Saccharomyces cerevisiae S288C: one gene and its partner. Changing the gene in region 1 together with any one later gene gives a genetic interaction. Each region holds a gene or a part of one and is shown in the gene's direction. Other genes may lie near its edges.

The links. Genes that interact genetically often act in the same process or in processes that back each other up.
Region 2: mutations in YML108W (region 1) and HRI1 together harm fitness more than expected from each alone (negative genetic interaction), as found in Saccharomyces cerevisiae (2 studies listed by BioGRID).

What each region holds. Positions count from the first base shown.
Region 1 is NC_001145.3:51,433-57,425, forward strand, and holds YML108W (uncharacterized protein), read left to right. Parts: upstream 1-3,360; coding exon 3,361-3,678; downstream 3,679-5,993. Other genes in the region: ZDS2 (Zds2p), read left to right, coding at 208-3,036; PML39 (Pml39p), read right to left, coding at 3,833-4,837; orotate phosphoribosyltransferase URA5, read left to right, coding at 5,341-5,993.
Region 2 is NC_001144.5:726,684-732,059, forward strand, and holds HRI1 (Hri1p), read left to right. Parts: upstream 1-4,141; coding exon 4,142-4,876; downstream 4,877-5,376. Other genes in the region: ECM38 (gamma-glutamyltransferase), read left to right, coding at 1-1,368; EXG1 (glucan 1,3-beta-glucosidase), read left to right, coding at 2,272-3,618. UniProt on the Saccharomyces cerevisiae protein: Unknown. Non essential.

The sequences.
Region 1 (5,993 bases):
GATTATTGTGACCAGTAACATTTGCTGACGCGTTGTGCGGGTAGCACACGCCGCGTCTTATTTTTGTTTTCATCTCATCTTCGTTAGATCATAATAATATGATTGAAAACTGGAGTAAAACGCTAAAGAACAGTGTCAAGGTTAGTAGTATCGTATACTTTACATTGATCACGTTTGCACTATAGACTGAATTTAAATTAGAATTTTATGGTACTGATGGAAGATATGCAAAACAAAGATGGCCATAATACTGTAGAAAACAGTAGTGGTGGTACGGACAGTAATAATAATATTCAAATGAGGCGAATGAGGAAGACACAGCTGTCCAAGAAGGAGCTTTTTGAGAAGAGGAAATCTGACGTGTTAATTGCTGCCAAGTCTTTAGATACAGAAATTCAGAATGTGAAAAATTTGAAGCGATTGTCGATTGGTTCAATGGATTTGGTAATTGACCCTGAGCTAGAGTTCAAAGTGAACAGTAGAAACTCATATTCTTCAGATTCCTCAAAGGAATCCCTTCAAGAATCGCTCCATGAAGAGAACATTATACGATCAGAACAAAAGGAAGAACAAGGGAGCGAAGACAATGATGCATATGAAGAGGGCGATGCTACTAATGTCGACGACAGTATAGATATCACTCAAACAGAGTATTTGCATGATGAAGAAACATTGGAGAAGGAAAAAATCATCCGTAATGCTTCTTCATCCACTTCATCTTCAGCAAGAGTAACGTCGAGGAACAGAAGGCTCAGTGGAGTAAAGACATTGGCTCACGATGTTGTATTGGATGTGGAGAACGACCACGATTCAAAAATGGTTGATTTAACTCAAAACCTTTTGTGGGTGCCCGCTGACCAACATCCTAACGTTAAGCCCGAAAACTATTTGGAATTGATCCAGGACACTTTACAAAACATTCAAATAAGCACAAATCAAGACATTGATGAAAACAAATTAGAACTGGGTAACAATCATGTAATTTCGAATAGAAAACGCACGGGCTCTGTAGTTAGAAGGCCTTCTCGGTTGAAGACATCTTATACCAAGTTTGATGACGAACCTCCCCTTGCAGACAAACCACAAGAAGGAGAAATACAAGTGGATAAGCGAATATCCTCATCTGACATCAAAACCATAAGATCTGTATCTTTGAAAGAAATTACTGAAGAGCTTACTAAGATTTCCAATAATGCCGGTTTAACGGACTCAGATGCGGTGACTTTAGCCAGAAGCTTGAGCATGTCAGGGTCATTTACCAACGAAAGTCTTCATTTGAACGGCAATCACACTGAAAATGATAACGAATTTGCATCAAATATGTTTAATGAAACTGGACTTACCATACCAGAGAGATCTTCTCTAAGGAGGTCTAAATTCAACACATATAAGATCAGACTAGAGGGTAGTAGCCTTCCACAGGCGGTAAAACTCAATAGCCTAATGAATATACAAACTAATGACAATCGCAGAAGTGCATCATCGCCTGCCTCCTACACACAAGTGCCTCAGGAGCAAGCATCATTGAATGATTTTCACGAGATTTTCGACCATTACAGAAGAACAAGTACTGATTGGAGTACCGAAAATGAGAAATACGTTGATAGCACCAACTACTATTCGGATGAAGAAGATTTGACACATGCATCTATTTCTCAAGAGAGCAGTCTTTTATCTACAGATAGTTCTAACAACAGCGTTTTAATAAAGCCGCATAACACTGGTTCGATGATTTCTGAAAAATTGGATCAGCACGTTAGCTCGAGTGAAAAATCAAATACCAATAACAGCGAAGCAAATCATGGCTGGTCATGGTTGAATTCTAGCAATGGAAGTTTGAACGCTAATGAACAAACTTATCAACAGCTTACAGATGATGAAGACGATGAAGAATGTGTGGACAATGAAAAAGCTGACTTTGTTAACTTGAGTGTATCGAGGAGAGCGAAATCTACCAAACGTGCCTCTGAAAGAATAAACCATTCCAAAAATAGACATTCGCCAATTTTCCAGATACATTCTGAAGAAGCAAAATCCGTGGTAATCACTCCTTCAGTCGTTTCTTCATCTGAATCCCAGCCATCTAAGCCTACTGCACCGGCAGTCGTGGAGAAAAAGGTAGAACTGCCTACTGACACCCAAGCCAGTACACATAAGAAAAATTCCTTGGAGAAAAGGCTTGCCAAATTATTCAAAAGAAAACAACATAATGGTACCTGCAAATCAGATGTGAAAGTAATCAAAAAAAGTGTTAAAAAAGAACTGAAAAAGAAGGCTTCGCATTCGAGTTTATCAAAATTCAGGAAAAGTCCCAAGAAAAAGCCCCAAGAAGCGGAAGTTGAACGCCCTTCATCCCCCACCAAAACAATTACCACCGAAGATATAGATACAGCAAGCGTCATTGAACCAGAAGTGAGAAGTTCAAATGCTTCCACCCTTCTTCCTGACAGCCATACTAGCCACAGTTCTGAATTTGTGGTGGAAACTATAAGCGAGTTAGATGGCGACGATTCATTTGATATTAGTGGTGGTGATGTAAACTACGACGTCGAAGTGCACTCTAGTATCAGTAGAGATACGACAGCTGGACTAGAAGAGGATATAGGAGCAGAGAGAGAAGACAACACTTCACCTACTGCCCCTCAAATCTCAACTTTGCCTCCAAGAAAATTGACATTTGAAGATGTCGTTAAACCAGATTACTCAAACGCTCCAATAAAATTCACAGACAGTGCTTTTGGATTCCCATTACCAATGATAACCAACTCTACAGTGATTATGTTTGACCATCGTCTAGGAATTAATGTTGAAAGGGCTATTTACAGACTCAGCCATCTGAAGCTTAGCGATCCCGGGAGGGAATTAAGACAACAAGTATTGCTAAGTAACTTCATGTACTCCTACTTGAATTTAGTCAATCATACCTTATACATGGAGCAGGTGGGCACTGGAGATATAGCCTTCAATGGTGATTCTGCCTTGGGAATGATGGACAAAAATGATTCTGATGGCACAATCTTAATTCCAGACATTTAACTCATAACTGTTTACAAGATTGATAGATACCTATATAAGGCCACATATTTCAAGTATTGTAAGGATGCCCTTTTAGTGTCAAACTTCTTATTATCACGAAAAACGTCGTCTTTTCATGCAAGGAAGGACTACAGTATATACATATAAATATATATTTATGTAATTATTTTTTTCTTTTTTTTTAAATTTTCTAGCGAGAATGAAGAAAAGCCGACCTCATCTCATCCTATTTGGAACAAATTCGAATGATCTGTCCAATACAGCAAGGCTACCTTGCGGTTGAATTCTATCTCGTACTACACTAAGACGAAAGAGAAAAACGAAATGTCCAAGAGTAATACTTATAGGATGCTCGTCTTACTAGAAGACGACACCAAGATAAATAAAGAAGATGAAAAATTTTTGAAAGGTAAGCCGGGAAAAATGCATGAATTTGTTGACGAGTTGATACTTCCATTTAATGTTGACGAACTGGACGAATTAAATACCTGGTTTGATAAGTTCGATGCCGAAATATGTATACCGAACGAAGGTCATATCAAATACGAAATTAGTAGCGATGGTTTAATTGTACTTATGCTAGATAAGGAAATTGAAGAGGTTGTCGAAAAAGTAAAGAAATTTGTCGAAGAGAATAACTGAAATAATGATGTTGCTTCGGTTTTTTGCATGAATATAACGTGACTGTTGCGTATGCATATGTGCACGTAATTTAAAGAGAGAGTGACAGAATCTGCGCATCAGCATGGGGGCATATACAAGCATATGAGAATTTGGATAATGTATTACATCTAATTTATAAAGTTTGTAGAACAGCCTCTAATTTATTTAGTCTTTCTCCCACGCCCAATTTCGTTATTAGTTTGTCCTCCTTGCCGATTAACTCCAGCAACATTGTGGGCAACAACTCTTTGTTGTAATACCGACACCATAGAGCGTGTCCGTTAAATTCTGTATATTCTAACTTCTTCAGGGATGCTCGATGAAAGCAAGCCGTGCATTGAACCAGATCATCCTTCTGGAATTTCGTGTAGCCGAGAAGCAACAGACCTACGAGAGAATAGTCTTTACAATCGAAAAAAAATGCCAATTTTTGTATTTCTTTCTCAGACAAGTAATGAAATATACGGGAAGAGTTTCTTTTAAGGCTAAATTCATTTGATCCGGAAACAATTCTGTCAATTTCTGTATGAATTCTTTCAATTTCCCTTATAAGGTTTTGTGAGCTTAAATAATACTCTTTGTTTAAATCAACCTGATTTTCCCTCCACGGACACTTTTGGAGATGATTTCCAATTATATTGGAATTCCAGATTTTTTCATTCAATTTCATGGTGTAATCGGCGACATCATCGCCATTTTTTAATAAAGGAATTGTCATAATGGCATGGCAACAACAGCACTTAAATGGCACTTGCGACTGGGATGCACTTTGGTACGGCTCCCAGCCCTTGGATGCTAGAGTCAGTGGATTGACCCATCGAACGTCCCATTCAATGAGCACATGCCTTGTGTAGTTTTGAATGGAGCATATTCTTTTCAACAAGGCCCGAAGATCGTGTAATCGGAAACCAACAAAATGTTTAGAGCTTTCTTGTACCAAATCATCATACAATTGCACGTGGCTCTTACATTTTTCAGGCAACATTGAACTGCCATTATGGGATTTCTTCTTGTACCTCCATTTGGTAATAAGTCGCTCTCCTAGAGTATTCCTATATTTTCCCGGTAAAAGTTTGGTATTCTTGTCCAGCGAATGTCTAATAGACTTCAGTCTAACCTCCAATGCGTCCTTTTCCATTAGTAACTGCCCTACTTTCCTGTCAATTCCTGGGGAATAATGTTTTATTTCTCCTTTACCATAGATTTCAAGATGACAGTTACTTTCGTTCCGAATGACTAGCGCTTGAAAATTTTTCAAACATTTTCCATATTCAATAAGCAAAACAAAGAGCATTTTGATTTGATAACAATTGTTTGGTAGTTTGATCTCATCATCAATCAGAGGTTTTTAACAAATTTATTTTTTGAATACATTTCAAAAGGAAATTGCATTTTGTCTTTTTTTTTTTGGGAGAATTTTGTGGGGTATTTCAATCATTGTTCCAACTTTACGTTCCTTTTTTGAATAAAGACACTTCTTATTATTAACAGGCTTTTATTTGTCAAATAAGATTCATTCAAAATTTCCATAAAGCATTACTTCTGCGATATACTACTAACGGAATTTTGGTTGCGTATTATTGTGTCTGACATTGTATGAAGGATACACAAAAAAATTAAAGATTAAGAAAGTTATTCAAAATGCCTATTATGTTGGAAGACTACCAAAAGAACTTTCTAGAGTTGGCCATCGAATGCCAGGCTCTAAGATTTGGTTCATTCAAGTTGAAATCAGGTAGAGAATCGCCATATTTCTTTAATTTGGGATTGTTCAATACTGGTAAATTGCTTTCCAATTTGGCTACTGCGTATGCAATTGCCATCATACAATCTGATTTGAAATTTGATGTGATTTTCGGTCCTGCCTACAAAGGTATCCCACTTGCTGCTATTGTTTGTGTGAAATTGGCGGAGATTGGTGGCTCTAAATTTCAAAACATTCAGTACGCTTTTAACAGAAAGGAAGCCAAAGATCATGGTGAAGGTGGTATCATTGTCGGCTCTGCCCTAGAGAACAAGAGAATATTAATCATCGACGACGTCATGACTGCTGGTACTGCCATTAACGAGGCCTTTGAGATCATCAGTAACGCCAAGGGTCAGGTAGTTGGCTCCATAATTGCTCTTGATAGACAGGAAGTTGTGAGTACTGACGATAAAGAAGGACTCAGCGCCACTCAAACTGTTAGCAAAAAATACGGTATCCCAGTCTTGAGCATTGTCTCCTTAATTCACATAATTACCTATTTGGAAGGCAGAATAACAGCAGAAGAGAAAAGCAAGATCGAACAATA
Region 2 (5,376 bases), on another chromosome or scaffold:
CCAGGTGAATTGATGGGTCTCTATCGCCTCTTTAAAGAAAGAGGTAGCGGCCAAGTTGATTGGCGTGATCTAATTGAACCAGTCGCAAAGCTGGGAAGCGTGGGTTGGCAAATAGGCGAAGCACTCGGTGCCACTTTAGAACTTTATGAGGATGTTTTCCTGACATTGAAGGAAGATTGGTCGTTTGTATTGAATTCTACCCATGACGGTGTTTTGAAAGAAGGCGATTGGATCAAGAGGCCGGCACTATCTAACATGCTAATGGAACTGGCTAAAAATGGTTCCGTGGCCCCATTTTATGACCCCGATCACTGGATTGCAAAATCCATGATTGATACTGTCGCAAAATACAATGGAATAATGAACTTGCAGGATGTTTCATCGTATGATGTTCATGTTACTAAACCACTGTCCATGAAAATTAGGAAGGGCGCCAATTTCATCCCTGATAACGATATGACCGTATTAACAAGTAGCGGCTCAAGTTCCGGGGCTGCACTACTTGCGGCGTTAAGGATAATGGATAATTTCCAGAATCAAGAAGGGGGCGATTATGAAAAAGAAACTACCTATCATTTGCTTGAAAGCATGAAATGGATGGCAAGCGCAAGAAGCAGGTTAGGCGATTTTGAAGGCGAAGCATTACCTAAGCATATAGAAGAGGTATTGGATCCAGAATGGGCTTTGAAAGCAGTGAAATCAATCAAAAGAAACTCTCAAGACGGAAATTTTAAAACTTTAGAAAACTGGACGCTTTATGATCCGGCATACGATATCAATAACCCGCATGGAACTGCCCACTTCAGTATAGTAGATTCACATGGGAATGCTGTTTCCTTGACAACCACCATCAACTTGTTGTTCGGTTCCTTAGTACACGACCCAAAAACCGGGGTGATCTTCAATAATGAAATGGACGATTTCGCTCAATTCAACAAATCTAATAGTTTTGAATTGGCACCCTCCATATACAACTTTCCCGAGCCCGGGAAAAGACCCCTATCATCCACTGCACCCACTATTGTGCTGTCAGAATTAGGCATCCCAGACCTCGTGGTCGGCGCTTCCGGCGGCTCAAGAATCACTACGAGTGTTTTACAAACAATTGTGAGGACGTACTGGTATAACATGCCTATATTGGAAACGATAGCCTATCCACGTATACACCACCAGTTACTGCCCGACCGCATAGAACTGGAAAGCTTCCCCATGATCGGTAAAGCCGTACTAAGCACTCTCAAGGAAATGGGATATACGATGAAAGAAGTATTTCCCAAGAGCGTAGTTAATGCTATACGCAATGTCAGGGGAGAATGGCATGCGGTGAGTGACTATTGGAGAAAAAGAGGAATCTCCTCCGTATACTAAGATGTGGGGTAAGAATGGTACTGTAATATAGTTCAAGATAATAGTACGTAATGTAGGGAGCCTGCTTCTGTGGTATATAAATAAATACTGGGCTTGCGTTTATTTTTAAAGAATCAATATTTACTTTTCATTAACAAAGGGCATACGCCCTTAAAACAAAACAAAAAATCCAGATCATGCGAGCTTTGCCTTTTTCAGTAAGTTTCCCTACCTTGCAGCCGAGACGCGACTTCGGAACGATGCCAGCATACGTATTTACCATTATTAAAAAAATCTGATGGCTTGATACTGCGCGTTTCTTTTTATAGCATTAATACGCACACATACGCGCATTGTTGTTTACTATAAATAAACCGTGGGGACCTGACCCAGTCATCCTCCCTGTGTTTACAGTGCGGTGCACACGAGCCTGAGACAAGCCCGTAACCAGGCGCGTTGCCGCAAATACAGAGGCGCCCCAGACAACACCGCAGTGTGAAGCACTGTCAATTTAAAACCGTGGCTTGCTGGAGATGCCCAGACCAACCCTGTTGGGTTTTTCTCTCGAGCACGCCGTTATAATTTTAGCGTGTTCCGTACCTGTGTGCACATCAATAAGCGGTGTAACAAACTTGAACTTGCCATCTCATATCGTCATATGAGCAGTTGCAGAGAAAGGCACTTTAAATAAAAAGGCGTGGATGATAAAAAATGTATATAAGTTGGATGGATTTTTGGGAAAAAGTAATGTTTTTGCAGACGTTTTAAATACTCCCTCCCTTTTCTTAGTAATTTTTATTATGTATTGACTAAGTCAAAAATAACTATAGAAAACTAAAGTTTACGAGAGGACCCAAAAGTTTTGAATAACACGTGCCTTTGATTTTTTGTTTACTTTCTTTTTCTAGTTAATTACCAACTAAAATGCTTTCGCTTAAAACGTTACTGTGTACGTTGTTGACTGTGTCATCAGTACTCGCTACCCCAGTCCCTGCAAGAGACCCTTCTTCCATTCAATTTGTTCATGAGGAGAACAAGAAAAGATACTACGATTATGACCACGGTTCCCTCGGAGAACCAATCCGTGGTGTCAACATTGGTGGTTGGTTACTTCTTGAACCATACATTACTCCATCTTTGTTCGAGGCTTTCCGTACAAATGATGACAACGACGAAGGAATTCCTGTCGACGAATATCACTTCTGTCAATATTTAGGTAAGGATTTGGCTAAAAGCCGTTTACAGAGCCATTGGTCTACTTTCTACCAAGAACAAGATTTCGCTAATATTGCTTCCCAAGGTTTCAACCTTGTCAGAATTCCTATCGGTTACTGGGCTTTCCAAACTTTGGACGATGATCCTTATGTTAGCGGCCTACAGGAATCTTACCTAGACCAAGCCATCGGTTGGGCTAGAAACAACAGCTTGAAAGTTTGGGTTGATTTGCATGGTGCCGCTGGTTCGCAGAACGGGTTTGATAACTCTGGTTTGAGAGATTCATACAAGTTTTTGGAAGACAGCAATTTGGCCGTTACTACAAATGTCTTGAACTACATATTGAAAAAATACTCTGCGGAGGAATACTTGGACACTGTTATTGGTATCGAATTGATTAATGAGCCATTGGGTCCTGTTCTAGACATGGATAAAATGAAGAATGACTACTTGGCACCTGCTTACGAATACTTGAGAAACAACATCAAGAGTGACCAAGTTATCATCATCCATGACGCTTTCCAACCATACAATTATTGGGATGACTTCATGACTGAAAACGATGGCTACTGGGGTGTCACTATCGACCATCATCACTACCAAGTCTTTGCTTCTGATCAATTGGAAAGATCCATTGATGAACATATTAAAGTAGCTTGTGAATGGGGTACCGGAGTTTTGAATGAATCCCACTGGACTGTTTGTGGTGAGTTTGCTGCCGCTTTGACTGATTGTACAAAATGGTTGAATAGTGTTGGCTTCGGCGCTAGATACGACGGTTCTTGGGTCAATGGTGACCAAACATCTTCTTACATTGGCTCTTGTGCTAACAACGATGATATAGCTTACTGGTCTGACGAAAGAAAGGAAAACACAAGACGTTATGTGGAGGCACAACTAGATGCCTTTGAAATGAGAGGGGGTTGGATTATCTGGTGTTACAAGACAGAATCTAGTTTGGAATGGGATGCTCAAAGATTGATGTTCAATGGTTTATTCCCTCAACCATTGACTGACAGAAAGTATCCAAACCAATGTGGCACAATTTCTAACTAAGTCGCCCTCAGTCCGCTCATTTTAGCTGAATTTTCTAATGTTATTTTTCATCAGCAAAACTTAACAGAACGTTAATTTATCTACCCCTTTTAGTTCATTATCTCTTTTTTATCCAACATTTTACAGAGATCTCTCACTTAAGTCTAAGTAAAGACATTATTTTATATGGTACACTTATAGAATATACGATAATAATAATAAAAACTATGTAACATAACCTTCAGAATTTAATATTAGTTTCCTTTTTACCTCATTGCACTAATAAAAAAATTCTACAGAATCTCCGAAAAAGAAAATCCAGCTTACTCTTTTTGTTTTCTTCTTCACACGTGAGCTTTTCCGCCGGCATACGTTCCGTTCCGTGTCGTCTTGCATAAAATTTCCGAATCACATGTTCGTAAAACAACCGGAAGTGCCCCGAATATAAAGTCAATTCTCACCGCTGTTGTAACTGGAGCTTTAAGGTGTTATCTAAGGAAGGATAAAAGAACTTAAACAACAACAAACAAAAAATTAAGTTACAATGCCAGCATTATTAAAAAGATTATTGTTTCAAGTGGGTCCTCATCCAAACGAAAGAACATTCACCTTATCCTCTGTTTCAACTGATGGGCACTATATTTCCTTGAGACCATTTGTTAAGCCAAGCGGTGATGAGTTATCTTTTCCTTTCGAATGGGCCTTTGCCGGTACAAACGAAACAGTTAAAGCTAATGATCAAGGAAACGGTGTCGTTACTCAAGATTTCAATTTCTGGTTGGATACAAATGTGTACTTGAACGTTCCAAACACCCATCGTGGCGAAGTGAACACCACTTGGAAAAATTGGGATTCTGGTTGTGTCGAGGAAACAGGCGCTGTTTACCCATTCGGTGCCGACAAAGAAAGCGTCTCTTTCAGAGAATTGTGGCAACCAGTTGACCCATCAAGAGAAGATCTAGTCATCGTCTCACCAAACAATGAGAAGTTCTCGTCGAATGCTAGGTCAATTGTCCTCAAAGTTACTGACGAAGCTTATGATGGTTTGGTTATTGTTATTGGTAGATGGATTCAAGGGTTTTTGTCCCAAAAGAATAATAACACTATTGAAGGCTTGAACTTCATCAGATTACTTGAAAAAGATTCAGGTAAATCTGAGTTCTTATTAAGCTACGGTAAGGAAGTAAACAAAATTCCACAAAGCTACGAAAATTTGAAGAAAGGTTCCACTGTAACCAGCAATGGGTTGAACTGGGAAGTTATTGAATATCACGCTTAATAAAGGAGAATAAATCGTTTTCTACTTTCTTCTGCTGCTATAATAAGCACCTATGGGATCTATATAGTATTTTTATAACGATAGACTTTATAAAAGAAAATACCTAAGTGAAAATTTGGTGAATTTTGAGATAATTGTTGGGATTCCATTTTTAATAAGGCAATAATATTAGGTATGTAGAATATACTAGAAGTTCTCCTCGAGGATTTAGGAATCCATAAAAGGGAATCTGCAATTCTACACAATTCTATAAATATTATTATCATCGTTTTATATGTTAATATTCATTGATCCTATTACATTATCAATCCTTGCGTTTCAGCTTCCACTAATTTAGATGACTATTTCTCATCATTTGCGTCATCTTCTAACACCGTATATGATAATATACTAGTAACGTAAATACTAGTTAGTAGATGATAGTTGATTTTTATTCCAACACTAAGAAATAATTTCGCCATTTCTTGAATGTATTTAAAGATATTTAATGCTATAATAGA